Macaca fascicularis: one gene and its partner. The protein of the gene in region 2 purifies or fractionates together with the protein of the main gene of each other region. This does not show direct contact. Links are inferred from orthologs where the notes say so. Each region holds a gene or a part of one and is shown on either strand. Other genes may lie near its edges.

Region 1 (7,819 bases), on a different chromosome or scaffold from region 2:
TCAAAAAAAAAAAAAAAAAAAAGAAAAGAAAAGAAAAAAGAAAGGAATACTTCATGAGAATTATTTGATTATTTGAGATAAATTAATTATAATCTCTCCACATAATTATTTTCAAAATATAAAAGCTAAAATTCTTACTCATAAGATAATTTATTTTAACTATGGCATATTATTTTCCTTCCAAACTGGTAACTTGTAGAACTAGGGTTTCATGTCAAACTTAGGTGAGTCAGTAATATTTTTACTTATCTTGTTTAAAAGATATTTCTAAGTTAATTCTTCTTCCCTCCCCCAGTTCCAGTGCTTCACTCACACATATACATATTTAAAGAAAATATTCAGATCCTTCCTTAATGAACATAGTTCCAAGTATGTCAGTACTGGATATCATTGGCCACAGTTTTGGATCATGGTTTGTAATCCTTAATTCATATGTTAAAATATCTGAGTTTATTCATCTGAGTGAATTTAGAAACTTTACTTTGAAGCTGAGTTTTCATTATATTCAGATGGTTGTTGAATTTTTTTCTAAAAGTCTAATTTTTTCTTAATTTTGAAAATACCAATAATGTCTTCTATAAAGTGGCACTTATAAAAGTATTTGTACTCTTTGAGATACTTGTTTTTGAACTAGTGATGTTTTAAAAATTGCTTCTCTAGAAGCAGGCAAACAGAAAATAGCTAAAAAGAATTTCTCGAAATTTACTTTATGACACCTGAATTTTCAATAAGTTTAACACCTTGTTTAGGGAAGTCACATCCCAATTTTTAAGCTGCAATCTTCAGACTTAAGATTATTATTTTTTTAGTTTTAATGTCTCTGTAAGTCGACATTCTTTATATAGGGCTTCTAGAAGTCAGTTTTTCTCATCAGATACAAAGTCGAGATGGGGCAATATTTTTAGTGTTATTGATATTTGATATTGATATTCCCTACTGCAATATTTGTTTCATTCTTGTTCAATAAAAAAGTGTTGACTTTGTTTATAAAAGTTCTAGACCTTTTCTCAAGTAACACCTGTGAACAGTTATTCTAAAGGCTACAAATGCATGTGGTAAGTATTCTCTAATGAACTAGCAATTGCTTAACTAGCTTTACTGAGGAATGATTAAGAAAAAAGATACAAGTTAATATAAATATGAAATTTATTTTGAAAAAGATTACTTTTGGCACTAACCAGGCTGTTAAGGATTTCTTTTGTGAGTAGGTAGAAACAGGAGATTAATTATATGTTGATATGTCATTACTGAGCTTTTGAGATTATAGGTATTTCTCATTATATAGAAAGTTACAGCCAACTTTAAATTTGTTAGAGATTGGTAAATTAGGAGATATATTGGTCTGGATTTATAGAAAGACTCAAAATTATGGAAATCCTAAGGCAACAAACTTCTTTTAAAAAAAAAATTTGTAGTTGCAGGATGTCAGTCCCTCCCCTTTTCATTAATTGTTAGTGGCTTCTCTAAAGAGAGAGCTGTTTGAAGGTTCTTGTAGGCCAGGCAACCAGGAGTCCTGAACTGAGAAAACACCAGCAGTGCAGAGAAGCAGTGGGGTGACTTAGCTTCCAGCCCCCTGAACTCCGCAGGATTGCAAAAAGGCCCAGAGACCATGCCTTGTACCGTGGTGTACCAAACCTATTTTTGATTGAGAGTGTTTGAGAGAGGGGAGGGAAAAGACAATACATTTATTTTTAGAGAGTAATGTGGACCAAATCTTTTAAATTAAAAATTAGGGACCAACACAAATCCTGAAAATAATTAATAGTGGTCTAGAATGGCCTGCAAACTGTAGCAGAGAATCAGACATCTGTCAGCAGTCTTTCCATTACTGGTACATATTGGCATGATGTCTGCCAGCATGCCCTGGTGCTCACCTCTTGTGGTGTGTGTTAAGGGGTGGAGGGGTCCTGGTCTCAGCACTCCGTATTGCTCAGGTGTCATTAAGCAGCAGGAATGTTAAATGCATGATACTGGCCCACAAGTCATTATTTCCATCAACAGAGATGGATCTCTCTTTGTGATGAAAACAAAAGTACCATAAAAAAAGAAAATAAATTAGAGATAATCTTGATACTTGGAGTATACCAGAAAATTCCCTGATCTGGCTTTGGGTTAAGTGGTTGCATATGGCATTTCCTCCCAGTTTTGTCTGAATGAGTGATTAAGAGCATGGAGCTAGACTGCCTGTGTAAATGTCCTGGCTCAGCCACTTCCCCACTGGAGGACTCTGCGGCTCTCATTGCCTCAGATCTCTCACCTGTAGGATGGATACGATAATAGTTTCTACGTCATAGAGTGGTTGTGAGGATTAAAGGAGTTTGTACATATAAAGAGCTTAGAACAATACTTAGGATGGAATATGTGCTGCACAAATGTTGCTGCTCTTCTTTATTTGAGATTTTTGTTTTTTGAGACAGTCTTGCTCCGTTGCCCAGGCTGGAGTGCAGTGGTACAATTTCGGATCACTGCAACCCCTGTCTCCTGGGTTCCAGTGATTCTTGTGCCACAGCCTCCTGAGTACCTGGGACTACAGGCATGTGCCACCATACCTGGCTGGATTTTGTATATTTAGTAGTGATGGGGTTTCACCATGTTGGGCAGGCTGGTCTTGAACTCTTGGCCTCAAGTGATCTGCCCACCTCGGCCTCCCAGAGTGCTGGGATTATAGGCCTGAGCCACCATGCCCAGCCTCATTTTAATTTTTATTGTGATGATAGCTTTATAGTTCTATTTTCTCTGTAACCCATTGGTCATAATTTATATCAAATTATGGTATTTATAGAACTTGAATTCATTACGTTAAAATGGTGTTTTACATTTTTGCAATCAATAAATGATCAAAGTTGTTCCTTTGTTTTACATTATTTTGCCCTTTAAAAGTTTTAGTTGAGGTTATGGTGTGGTTAGAAAAAGATGGATGTTTTTTCACCATTTATTAGAATCCTAAGGAAGGGAAAATATTTGTATCTACTTGACAACCAGAGTATTGAGAGTTAAATTGATGAGTTTTACTTTACATTGTTTACATTTAAATATTAGGTTTGGGGCAAGATGGAAAGACACTGCTAATTACGAATATTGACATGGAGCCATGCACGGTAGACCCCCAGCTAAGGATTATTCTTCAATGGCTCATTGCCTCTGAGGCTGAAGTTACAGAACTTTATTTTCATGACTCTGCAAATAAGGAGTTTATGCTAGTAAGTACCTACCTTATAGAGGGTTAGTATACATTTAACAGTAGATGATGTTCTTGTCATGTGGTTGGTCTAACAAGATGCCTGGTGATGGCAGAGTGGTTAAATGCTTAGGCTGTAGTATCCAACAGTTGGGTTCAGACATCAGCTCTGCCTCTTTCTAGCAGGGTAACCAGAGGCAGGTTCACCAGTCTGTCTCATTGCCCCTAACTGCGCTATGCAAATGAATATAGAATCAACCTTACAGGGGTTTATGAGGATTAAATATAATGTTAAAAAAATGCTTAGTCTAATGCCTGGCATAACACTAAGCTCTCAAAGGTAGATGCTATTAATAAGCATTGTGTGTGTTCCTATGAAAAAGTTGAATTATTCTCTGTATTTAATTGATTCATAATTGTACCTAATATATCTTTCTCTGATAATCCAGTTTCATTCATATGAGAAGCTGTCATAATTAAAAGTCGATAAAAGTTTAAACAAGATGCTTACTATGTGCGAAATACCTTATTAGTCAAGATTTTCAGTTTACAGTCTTAAGGTTTTTGTTGCATAATTTTCTTTATTGGAAGTTTCCTTTTGGTGTGGTAGAAATATTCTAATTGTGGTGATGGTTGCATTCAACTTGGAGAACATACTAAAAACCATTGACTAAGACACTTTGGGTGAATTGTATGTTATGTGAGTTTTATCTCAATAAAGCTGTTTTTAAAAAGGTTAAGCATATATATGTTAACACAAATTAGTTTTTCAGACTTTAACTTACAGATCTTTCAAAACTTAAGAGCTTTTACAGAACTTAGTAGAAAAAGAAGTGAACGAAGGCATGTCATGAGTGGGACAACAGGATTTATTTAAACCTGTATTTATGTATGTATGTATGTATGTTGAAACATTAACATTTTTTAACTTAGAAAGCCATGTCATCATTGAGGCTAGAGTGTGTATTCCAGAAAAATAACATACTATATGTTGTGGAAGGAAAATCCACATCCGTTTATTGAGCTTGACGTTGTCTTTATTATTTTATGTTCTAATTGAGGGTGTGGCAGTTGTATTTAGTTAGGTGAAGAATTTCCTGTAGAAACTCAGTCTCTGCACTCCCACACAGACTATTTGCTTGGTGAGGTTTGTGGAGCTTTGTCTCCAGCGATCCCAAAGTGTCATTCTCCGGAGGAGATGTGTTTATATAGGGGAAGAAGGGAAAATGTTTAATTTGGGTAAAGGGGTAGCGGTTTAGAGGGGAAGACCTTGTTATAACTAGGAAACTATTTAATTGTAAACAGCAGGATTCTTAGTTTCAGCTAAAAATAAAAGCTTTGTTATAAAATTGTTTTTGGTTAATGTTTGACACATCTTTCTTTCGTTCTTAGCTTTCAAAACAATTACAAGAGAAAGGATGGAAAGTGGGAGACCTCCTGCAGGCTGTGCTTCAGTACTATGAAGTGATGGAAAAAGCTTCCAGTGAGGAAAGATGCAAGTCGCTGTTTGATTGGCTCTTGGAAAATGCATAGAGCAAACCCCAAACCAGTATATTTTAGTATTTGTTTGGGGAGGGGAACAAGCCAATAAAGATGTTTAGGATAAAATTTGAATAGTGAATATTAACATTGTCAGTCAGTTGGGAGGCAAGTAAATATAGCTTTCTAAGCGCTTTGGGTTATCACTCAGTGTATATAGTTCATACTTTTGTAATCTCTGTCAAAATACTAGCTTCATTTATTCTTCTATACATGTGTGTAGTGTGTGAAGACCCTAAGAACATGTATTTGAAGGAAGGTCTAACCATGGGGTTTTCAGGGGCATTGTCTGACCACATTCTTTTTGTATCCAAATAGTGCTGCTAGAAACTGCACTGAAGTGGCTGAGGATAGGTTCCAGTGATAGAGTTATCATTTTGCTCCTTTGCAAACAAATGGCATCTAATTAATAACTAGTCTGACATCAGAAAATAAAATTGAGGCTGATTTTTTTTAATTTCTAGTAGATTTTTGGTCTTTCCTGTTTTTAAAAATCAGTTTCATTTTCATATTTCATAGTTCAGCTGTTGGTAGCTTTTTGATTTCCCCAAACTATTTAATTTCTTAGCAAAAACATTAGTATTTTAGGTTTCTATGAACACTAAGTGATAGTTTGACCCATCCTTTCATCAGATGACATTATTTGCCAATGCTGCCAGTCATTCTGGCATGAAAGTGATTGTGTGTGTGTGTGTGTGTGTGTGTAAAGGAGTACTTTAACCTTGCCAGTTTGTTCCCTCTTTTATTTTACTGTTTTCTTTTTAGAAACCCACTGTTAAGATTTAAAAAGGTGCTTTAAAATAAAACGCCTATAAAGATTGTGCAGTAAGAATTTTTATTCCTCTTTTTGACGATTTTGGGTTCCCAACTTCTTACAAGTGAAAAATTATAAAACATGTTGAAATTTTAAAAATTAATATTAATATGGAAATGCATTTAGAGAAGCCAATAGTTTTTATTGGATTTTTGAAAAAAAAACTCTCTACCAAGAATATGGTTGAAAAATTGGGATCCCCCCACCCCCTCACCATATCTACACCGTCTTGTCAAGTTCTCTGACATGATCTTTCTGGGCTCTACATTTCCTACTAGTTTGTGTCCAGAAACTGCAAGTTGACATGAATAGAGGACCAAGGTTGTGTTTTGCTTTTGTCTGTCTCTCCCCTCCTCCCGCTCTCTGCCCTCTCCCCCTCTCTCTGCCCTCTCCCCCTCTCTCTGCCCTCTCCCCCACTCTCTGCCTTCTCCCCCTCTCTCTGCCCTCTCCCCCACTCTCTGCCCTCTCCCCCTCTCTCTGCCCTCTCCCCCACTCTCTGCCCTCTCCCCCACTCTCTGCCCTCTCCCCCACTCTCTGCCCTCTCCCCCAACTCTCACCTCCCCCACTCCCCCTACTCTCTCACCTCCCCACCACCACTCTCTCTCACCTCCCACTGTGTCCTGTGGATGTGTGGATGTGTGTGTATTTGGGTGTGTAAATGTTGGTTCTTCCACTATTGGATTTTGTAATCTAGGATAAATCACTTTTTGTGGGGGCTTTGGTTTTGCTCCATTACATTTTCATTTTTTTCTGAGCATTGACTGACCTGAAAGCTGCACAAAATGTAGAAGACATAGCACCTGCCAAGGAATAGGGAATAAGGGCACTTACATTAATGTGAATTAGTAATTGTGGTATAGAAATGTTTTATAGTGAAAGATTCAAATTTGCTTTTTAAGAAAAATGCCAAAAGCTATTTAAATAACTTGAGGTAACATTGTAGGTTTTGATTTTTCTCAATTTAAGATACAGAAATACAGCAAGCCTTAATATAAAGTTTCCTGAAGTTTTTTCAAGTATTTTTTAAGGTGGAGAAATGCAGGAATTGTATAACCAGAATTGTTTCTGCCTTTAGCTTTTCAGAACTTGAGATGTGGCTGCACTGGACTGGGTTTGTAAATGTTAGGACTAGGAATGTTTGCTCTTGTTAATTATGAATTAATTGGTTATTAAGTTTAGAATGCATTTTTACAAGTATGTATCAAATTGTGTTTAGTAACTTGAGTGTATGCACAGGTTTGATCAACAGCAAAATAGAGTTCTGAATTTCTTTCAAAGTGACAATACATTATTTTGTAAAACTTTGTGTTTGAAAATGTTTACTTCTGTTTATGGTGTAATCATTCTGAGGTGAGACTTTTCTTATTCTTATTTCCTTTGCATTTTGCTAGAGCTGTGCTGAGTTCAGCATTTGCTTATTTAACCACTACAAAATGACAGACCAGTTATTAGGTATTAGCATGTGTGGTAATAATAATAGTGGAACTTCACACTTACATCAATTCAGTGCAGGGGCATAGAGTAAAATATTAAATATTGGCAGATGTGAAAAGAAGTGTGAGTTAAAAATATTAAATATTGGCAAGTGCGAAAAGAAGTGTCAAACTTCCTCATATAGAGAAAAGAATTTTGAGTTTAGAGCAGTATCTTTTAATTAAGTATAGTCTAAACTTAACTTTCTTTAAAGGCACTTTGTGGTTTTTCCAAAGATATTCTAGATCTATTTGGTTGCTCTATAGTCAAACAGCTCTTTTGAAGACAACTCTCTTATTTTATTACAAATTGGCTTGATGTATTTCTACTGTAACATTGTAATATTGCTGTGCTGTACATTTTGGCCCTTATGAAATATATCTTTTTCAGAACCGTTAAAGTTTTGATGTACATTGAGCTGAATTCTCCGTTTACCAGTTTCATAACCTTCAAATGATATGTGGAAAAAAGTGAATGAGACCTCTGATAGGGGGTTTTCAGAACCTTGTTCACACCAAAATGTGACAGTTCTTTCATGTTTTCCTAAACCAAGTTAAAATTACATGTATATTTTGGTGTTAAGGTTGATATTTAAAATATTTCTGATTTATACAAAAGGAATGTTTCCTTTATAAATCACAGAAGAAAATAGTATCTGTTGGATGTTTGATATAATTTAATGGCATTATAAAACCTTTAAGAGGATTCATGGTGAATATATGTGATAACATCTTTATACTTTGAAAAATGTTCCACTTCCCCTTCAGATATTTGTTGTAAGTTAATTCAAATCTTAATACTTTAATTTTGCTCCA
Region 2 (7,819 bases):
AGAGGAGTCCAGCATGCTTGAACATGCAGGTGGTCTCCCAGGATCCTATGGGTTTGTGTTTCCCCTATGCTGAGGAATGTGTGATGTTTCAACCACCACAAAACAAAACAGAGCAAACATGGCAAGTTAGGTGTCCAAACTTTAGTTGGTCCCAGGCGCGGTGGTTCTCACTGGCACTTTGGGAGGCCGAGGTGGGCAGATCACCTGAGATCAGGAGTTCGAGACCGGCCTGGCCAACATGGCAAAATCCCGTCTCCACTAAAAATACAAAACTTAGCTGGGCGTGGTGGCGGGCACCTGTAATCCCAGCTACTCGGGAAGCTGAGGCAGGAGAATCACTTGAACCCAGGAGACAGACATTGCAGTGAGCTAAGATCACACCACTGCACTCCAGCCTGGGTGAGACAGTGACACGCCGTCTCAAAAAAAAAAAAAAAAAAAATTGAAGTTGTTGATTTTGTGCATTTTTTGAGCCCCAAAAGGTGGCATGCATCTGTAATCCCACTACTCCTGAGGCTGAAGCGAAAAGATCATTTGAGCTCAAGAATTTGAGACCAGCCTAGGCTACATAGTGAGGTTTTGTCTCTTAAAAAAAAAAAAAATTGGCCGGGCGTGGTGGCTCACACCTGTAATCCCAGCACTTTGGGAGGCTGAGGCCGGTGGATCAGGAGGTCAGGATATCGAGACCATCCTGGCTAACATGGTGAAACCCTGTCTCTACTTAAAAAATACAAAAAAATTAGCCGGGTGTGGTTGCAGGCGCCTCTAGTCCCAGCTCCTTGGGAGGCTGAGGCAGGAGAATGGTGTGAACCCGGGAGGTGGAGCTTGCAGTGATCGCGCCACTGCACTCCAGCCTGGGCGACAGAGCGAGACTCCATCTCAAAAAATAAAATAAAAATTATACTATTATTTCATTTTATATAGGTCAATAGTTTTATATGTGTAGATTTTAATATATATTTTTATACATAAAATAAAACTACATAAATTTGTAAGTTTAAGATACAGGCTGGGTACTGTGGCTCATGCCTATAATCCCACTTTGGGAGGCCAAGGTGGGCAGATTGCTAGAGCCCAGGAATTTGAGACCAGCCTAACATAGCAAGACCCATCTCTACAAAAAGTAAAAAAAAAAAAATAGGTTGGGCGCAGTGGCTCATGCCTGTAATCCCAGCACTTTGGGAGGCCGAGGCGGGTGGATCACCTGAGGTCAAGAGTTCGAGACCAGACTGACCAACATGGTGAAACCCCGTCTTTATTAAAAATACAAAAATTACCTGGACGTGGTGGTGGGCGCCTGTAATCCCAGCTACTCAGGAGGCTGAGGCAGGAGAATCGCTTGAACCCAGGAGGTAGAGGTTGCAGTGAGCCCAGATGGCACCATTGCACTCCAGCCTTGGCAACAAGAACGAAACTCCATCTCAAAAAAAAAAAAAAAAATTAGGTGTGGTGGCACATGCCTGTAGTCCCAGCTACTGGGGAGGCTGAGGTGGGAAGATCACCTGAGCCTGGGAGGTCAAGACTGCATGAGCCGGCCAGGCGCGGTGGCTCACACCTGTAATCCCAGCACTTTGGAAGGCTGAGGCAGGCGGATCACGAGGTCAGGAGATCCAGACCATCCTGGCTAAGACGGTGAAACCCCATCTCTACTAAAAATACAAAAAAAAATAATTAGCAGGGCGTGGTGGTGGGCACCTGTATTCCCAGCTACTCGGGAGGCTGAGGCAGGAGAATGGAGTGAACCTGGGAGGAAGAGGTTGCAGTGAGCCAAGATCGTGCCAGTGCACTCCAGCCTGGATGACAGAGCAAGACTCCATCTCAAAAAAATAAAAAGGAAAAAAAAAAAAGTCTGCATGAGCCATGATCACGCTGCTGCACTTCAGAATGGGTAACAGAGACCCTGTTCAAACAAAAAAAAATTTTTAGCTTAAAAATTTGTCTTATTAACTTATAAGTTTACATATGTACTTTTATTTTATTTTTTGAGACGGAGTTTCAGTCTTGTCACCCAGACTGGAGTGCAGTGGCGTGATCTCGGCTCCGTGCAACCTTCACCTCCTGGATTCAAGTGATTCTTCTGTCTCAGCCTCCCAAGTAGCTGGGATTACAGGCGCACGCCCCCTTGCCTGGCTAATTTTTGTATTTTTAGTAGAGATGGGGTTTCACCATGTTGGCCAGGCTGGTCTCAATCTTCTGACCTTGGGTGATCTGTCCCCCTCGGCCTCTAAAGTGCTGGGATTACAGGCATGAGCCACCATGCTGGCCTTGTAGTTGTATTTTAGATAGAAAACTATAGATTCACTTTACATACAATAAAATGCACAGTTCTTCAATGCTCCATGCCACAAATTTTGACAGTTGTATACAGTTACCTAACCTCCACCTAAAACAGTATATGGAACTTTTCTATCACCCCAGAAAATTCCCTTGAATCCCTTTCTTCTTCTTTTTTTTTTTTTTTTTTTTCAATAATATACAGAGGTGGAGGCCGGGTGCAGTGGCTCACGCCTGTAATCCCAGCACTTTGGGAGGCCAAGGCGGGCGGATCACAAGGTCAGCAGTTCGAGACCAGCCTGACCAACATGGTGAAACCCTGTCTCTACTAAAAATATAAAAATTAGCCAGGTGTGGTGGTGCATGCCTGTAATCCCAGCTACTCAGGAGGCTGAGGCAAGAGAATCACTTGTTTCCAGGAGGCGAAGGTTGCAGTGAGCCAAGATTATGCTACTGCACTCCAGCCTGGGCAACAGAGCAAGACTCCATCTCAAAAAAAATACTGAAAAAAAAAATATATATATATACACACACACACACACATCTCTGCATACACACAGAGGTGAGATCTTGCCTATGTTACCCAGGCTGGTCTCGAACTCCTGGGCTCAAGTGATCCTCCCACCTCGACCCTCCAAAATGCTGGGATTACAGGGATGAGACACCGCGCCGGGCCAAATCCCTTTCTTGACACGTCACCTCCCCGCCAAAGGCAGTTGTCCTTTCTGACTTCAAACACCGTGCCTTTGTTTTGTCTGGGCGTGGACATGATATAAATGGAATCATTCATGTTCTTTTGTGTCTTCTTTTGCTTTAACATAATCAGTTTGAAATGCAGCCACGTTGTTGAGTGGATGCATGGGCTGTCCTGTTGGCAGTGGTGGTGGTGAGTGGAATTCCATTATATGACTATAGCTCAGTCTGTGATTCCATTCTCCTGTGGGTGGACCTACAGGCTATTTCCCATGTCGGGCTATCTAAGAATCAGGTGCCTCGCATTTCTGACAGCCGGACTGGAGTTGTCTTCCTCTGGGGAAGGCTCTGCAGGGCCACCTGCTGGACCATTTTGGGGCATGGCCACTGACATTCACCTCTCCATCTGTCCCCATCAGCGAGCCCCATGCCCGTTTCTACGCGGCCCAGATCGTCCTGACCTTCGAGTATCTGCACTCGCTGGATCTCATCTACAGGGACCTGAAGCCGGAGAATCTGCTCATTGACCAGCAGGGATACATTCAGGTGCCCACCAGGCCGGGCGAGGGGCAGCCCTGGGGAAGCCGTGGCCTGGACCCTCCCTTCCTGCCAACTGCCTGTTCTTGTGCCCACAGGTGACAGACTTCGGTTTCGCCAAGCGCGTGAAGGGCCGCACTTGGACCTTGTGCGGCACCCCTGAGTATCTGGCCCCTGAGATTATCCTGAGCAAAGTAGGCGCCTCCCCAGCCCTCCCCTTCCCCTGAGGCCGGCTCTGCTCTCCTGCTCGCCCCCTCCTCACCCTGTGCCCCCCCATCTTGCTCCAGGGCTACAACAAGGCTGTGGACTGGTGGGCCCTGGGGGTTCTTATCTATGAAATGGCTGCTGGCTACCCGCCCTTCTTCGCAGACCAGCCCATCCAGATCTATGAGAAGATCGTCTCTGGGAAGGTGAGGTCCGGCTGCGGGGACACAGCCCTGGAAGAAACAGACCCTCCCCTGCTCACTCATCCTACTCCCTGGGGAGCCCTGCTTGTTGTCAGAATAATCTAGAAGTTCCTTAAGTCAGGCCAGGTGGTGAAGCTGGACGCACCGGCCACACTGAGGCCAACACCTTGAGGCCCCCTCACTGTCCAGCCCCAACCCCGCGGTTCCAGAATCCCAAGAGCTTCCAAAACCCCAAGCCTCACAGAAACTTCTTGGCCGCAGAACACAAACCGCCCTGCCAGGCAACCCTCTTCGTCACTCCTTGTCCCAGTTAGTGTGAGTTTTCGCAAATTCCAAGGCAGAAAAACCAGTGTATTTGGTTCCTGTTCCCAGGTGCTGTCCGCAGCCTCACCAAGGAGTGCTCTCACTTAGCGTTTACAGCCCATGCTTCCTCTCCCAAACCCAGACTTGCCTAACTCTGAGGGTTCGGATGAGGGGTGCTGAAACCACCTCAGCTCACATCTGTGACAGGCGCAAAGTGCCTGCCATCCACCAGGCCCTAGAATCCCCCCATCAGTCACACCCTGAGATGGTGGCACCCTCTGCAGGAGAGGTGAGGAAACAGGCTGGGAAAAGGGATGTGTCTTGGCCAAGATCACACTTTGGTGAGTAGGTAATCATCGTAGGCACTAAGAGCAGGAGAGAGGTTGGGGACCCCACCTGTGCCCTCAGCTCAACCACCTTGCTGGGAAGACCCGACCATCCCCCGACTTGGTCCAGCATCTCCTACACAGGAGCTTTTGGTTGGCCCAGAGTCACGACACTGTGGTGGCAGCATCCTCAGGCTCAGCCTGGGCCCCAGTCCGGACCCCAGTCCCAGCTCTGCCACTGATTGGCTTTGAAACTTTGCATTTGGGTGCAATGGCTCACGCCTGTAATCCCAGCACCTTGGGAAGTGGAGGCTTGAGGCCAGCAGTTCCAGACCAGCCTGGGTAACATAGCCAGACCCCATCTCTTAAAAAAAAAAAAAAAAAAAAGCTAAAAATTAGCTGGGCGTGATGGTGCACCCCTGTATTCCCAGCTCATCAGGAAGCTGAGGCAGGAGGATCACTTGAGCCCAGAAGTTCAAGGCTGCAGTGAGCTGTGACTGTGCCACTGCAAACTAGCCTGGGTCACAGAGCCAGACACAGTCTTTTAAAAAAAATTCAGGCAAGTGGGGTACCCGGCTGGACACATAGCATCACTAAAAGGGAAAGATGAAGGCCTGGCACGATGGCTCATGCCTGTAATCCCAGCACTTCGGGAGGCTGAGGCAGGTGGATCACGAGGTCCGGAGTTCAAGACCAGCCTGGCCAACATAGTGAAACCCCATCTCTACTAAAAATACAAAAATTAGCTGGGCATGGTAGCAGGCACCTGTAATCCCAGCTACTTGGGAGGCTGAGGCCAAAGAATTGCTTCAACCCAGGAGACGGAGGTTGCAGTGAGCCAAGATCACACCATTGCACTCCAGCCTGGGCGACAGAACAAGACTCCGTCTCAAAAAAAAGGAAAGATGAGGCATCTGCCATGGGTGGAATAGAAACTGCCAATAAAATGGCCCAGAGTAGGCCGGGCACGGTGGCTCACGCCTGTAATCCCAGCACTTTGGGAGGCCGAGGCGGGCGGATCACAAGGTCAGGAGTTTAAGACCAGCCTGACCAACATGCTGAAACCCTGTCTCTACTAAAAATACAAAAATTAGCCGGGTGTGGTGGCGTATGCCTGTAAATCCCAGCTACTCAGGAGGCAGAGGTTGCAGTGAGCTGAGATTGCGCCACTGCACTCTAGCCTGGGCAACAGAGCAAGACTCCATCTCAGAAAAAAAAAAAAAAGAAAGAAAAAAAAGAAAATGGTCCAGAGTGGAAAAAAAAAAAAGAAAGAAAAAAATCACAGAAGATCCCATAGGAGAAGATGCACATGACTCCCTTCTTTGTAGCATTTTCTAGTTCCCCCACACCCTCAGTGGTGTTATCTCCCTCGTGCAGCCCTGGGATATCTGCCCCACATCTGAGAGGCATGCACAGGCCCAGAGAGGTTAAGGGCCATGGCCAAGGTCACAAAGCGTGTAAGAGGCACAGCAGGAACAAGAAGTCGTTTCTTGCAACTATAACTCCAGTGATGACTTGCATACAAGGCTATGGGCTCAGAGCGTATGGGGAAAACTTTCAAGAAGAGTCGAGCTGCACTTTAAAGAATGGAAGAGCCTTAGCTATGCAGAAAGAGAGGAGAGAAAAAGTTTGTCATAAGCATGAATATTTCAGAAGTCTCTGAACCCCAGCAGAGATGCCTTCAGCAGCAGCGGCAGCAGCAGCAGCTGAGAATACAAGTTCTAGAGTCCAGTAGACCTGAGATGGAATTGCCCCATCCCATGCCTCAATGTGACCTTGGAAGAGCTGTTTAACCCTTCCAAGCCTCAGTTTCCCCTTCTCTGAAATGGAAATCATCATAGCACTTGCCTTAAGAGCAATGGTTCTTAAAGGGGACCCCTTTCCAGCATCACCGTTGCTGGGGAATTTGTTAGAAATGCAGATTATTGGGCCAGGCACGGTAGCTCACAGCTGTAATCCCAACACCTTGGGAGGCCGACGCAGGTGGATCACCTGAGGTCAGGAGTTCAAGACCAGCCTGACCAATATGGTGAAACCCTGTCTCTACTAAAAATACAAAAATTAGCCAGGTGTCGTGGCGTGAGCCTGTGATCCCAGCTACTTAGGAGGCTGAGACAGGAGAATTCCTTGAACCCAGGAGGCGGAGATTGCAGTGAGTCCAGATCGCACCACTGCACTCCAGCCTGGGCTACAGAATGAGACTTTTTTTTTTTTTTTTTAATGCAGATTCTTGCTGGGTGCGGTGGCTCACGCCTATAATCCCAGTACTTTGGGAGGCCAAAGCAGGAGGATCGGTTGAGCCTAAGAGTTCTAGACCAGCCTGGGCAATATAGTGAGACCCTGTCTCTACAAAAACTTAAAATAACTAGCTCTTGAATTTTTAAAGTTTTTAAAGAAATGCAGATTCTCAGGCCACAGTATCACTTCCTAAATTGGAAACTGTAGTGTAGGCTCAAGGAGCTGTTTTACAGGATGCCAGCAGGCACTCAGCTTTGGAGGCCCCCACCCAGTAGGACTGTTGGATGGAGAAAGAAGCCTCATGGGCTCCCCAAGTTCCAGACCAGCTTCCCACCCTGTCCTTGTACCCCTTCCTCCAGGTGCGGTTCCCTTCCCACTTCAGCTCTGACTTGAAGGACCTGCTGCGGAACCTCCTGCAGGTAGATCTTACCAAGCGCTTTGGGAACCTCAAGAATGGGGTCAATGATATCAAGAACCACAAGTGGTTTGCCACGACTGACTGGATCGCCATCTACCAGAGGAAGGTGGGTCTCCCCTCCTTAAGCTGCTGAGGGTTTGGGAGCAAGCCGCGAGTCAGGGAGGACAGCCAATAGAGAGAAAGAGAAGAGAACACAGGTTCAGGAGCAACCTAGAGTAGAGAGCTTAGAGCAGTGGGGTCTAGAAATGGGATTCTGGGGTCATTTGGCCATTCCATGACCTTGTGCAGCAGATGCCTCTCTGGGAAATAATTTCCCCTTTGATGAGTTGGCTACATTAAGAGTTTCAGGCGTTAAGAGGAATCCATAACCTAATGGGAAGCACAGGCCTGAGTCAGAGTAAATATCTCTTGAATGTTAGGCCATTCGCATTTATTGTTGTAATAATGATTATGTTGAATGCTGAGGTCTGGGTGATTCTTGATCCCTCTCCAGGTGGAAGCTCCCTTCATACCAAAGTTTAAAGGCCCTGGGGATACGAGTAACTTTGACGACTATGAGGAAGAAGAAATCCGGGTCTCCATCAATGAGAAGTGTGGCAAGGAGTTTTCTGAGTTTTAGGGGT

What was found. The genes of interacting proteins can lie anywhere in the genome.
Region 1: the proteins of PRKACA (region 2) and AKAP11 purify together in Homo sapiens (affinity purification with mass spectrometry; 5 studies listed by BioGRID and IntAct, with this or other methods). This does not show direct contact. The link is inferred for Macaca fascicularis from reciprocal best matches to the Homo sapiens genes PRKACA and AKAP11.

The regions. Positions count from the first base shown.
Region 1 is NC_088391.1:21,605,794-21,613,612, forward strand, and holds part of AKAP11 (A-kinase anchor protein 11), read left to right. Parts: intron 1-3,039; coding exon 3,040-3,200; intron 3,201-4,570; coding exon 4,571-4,711; 3' UTR 4,712-7,819. UniProt on the Homo sapiens protein: Binds to type II regulatory subunits of protein kinase A and anchors/targets them.
Region 2 is NC_088393.1:14,512,380-14,520,198, reverse strand, and holds part of PRKACA (cAMP-dependent protein kinase catalytic subunit alpha), read left to right. Parts: intron 1-3,386; coding exon 3,387-3,513; intron 3,514-3,602; coding exon 3,603-3,698; intron 3,699-3,791; coding exon 3,792-3,914; intron 3,915-7,137; coding exon 7,138-7,302; intron 7,303-7,689; coding exon 7,690-7,815; 3' UTR 7,816-7,819.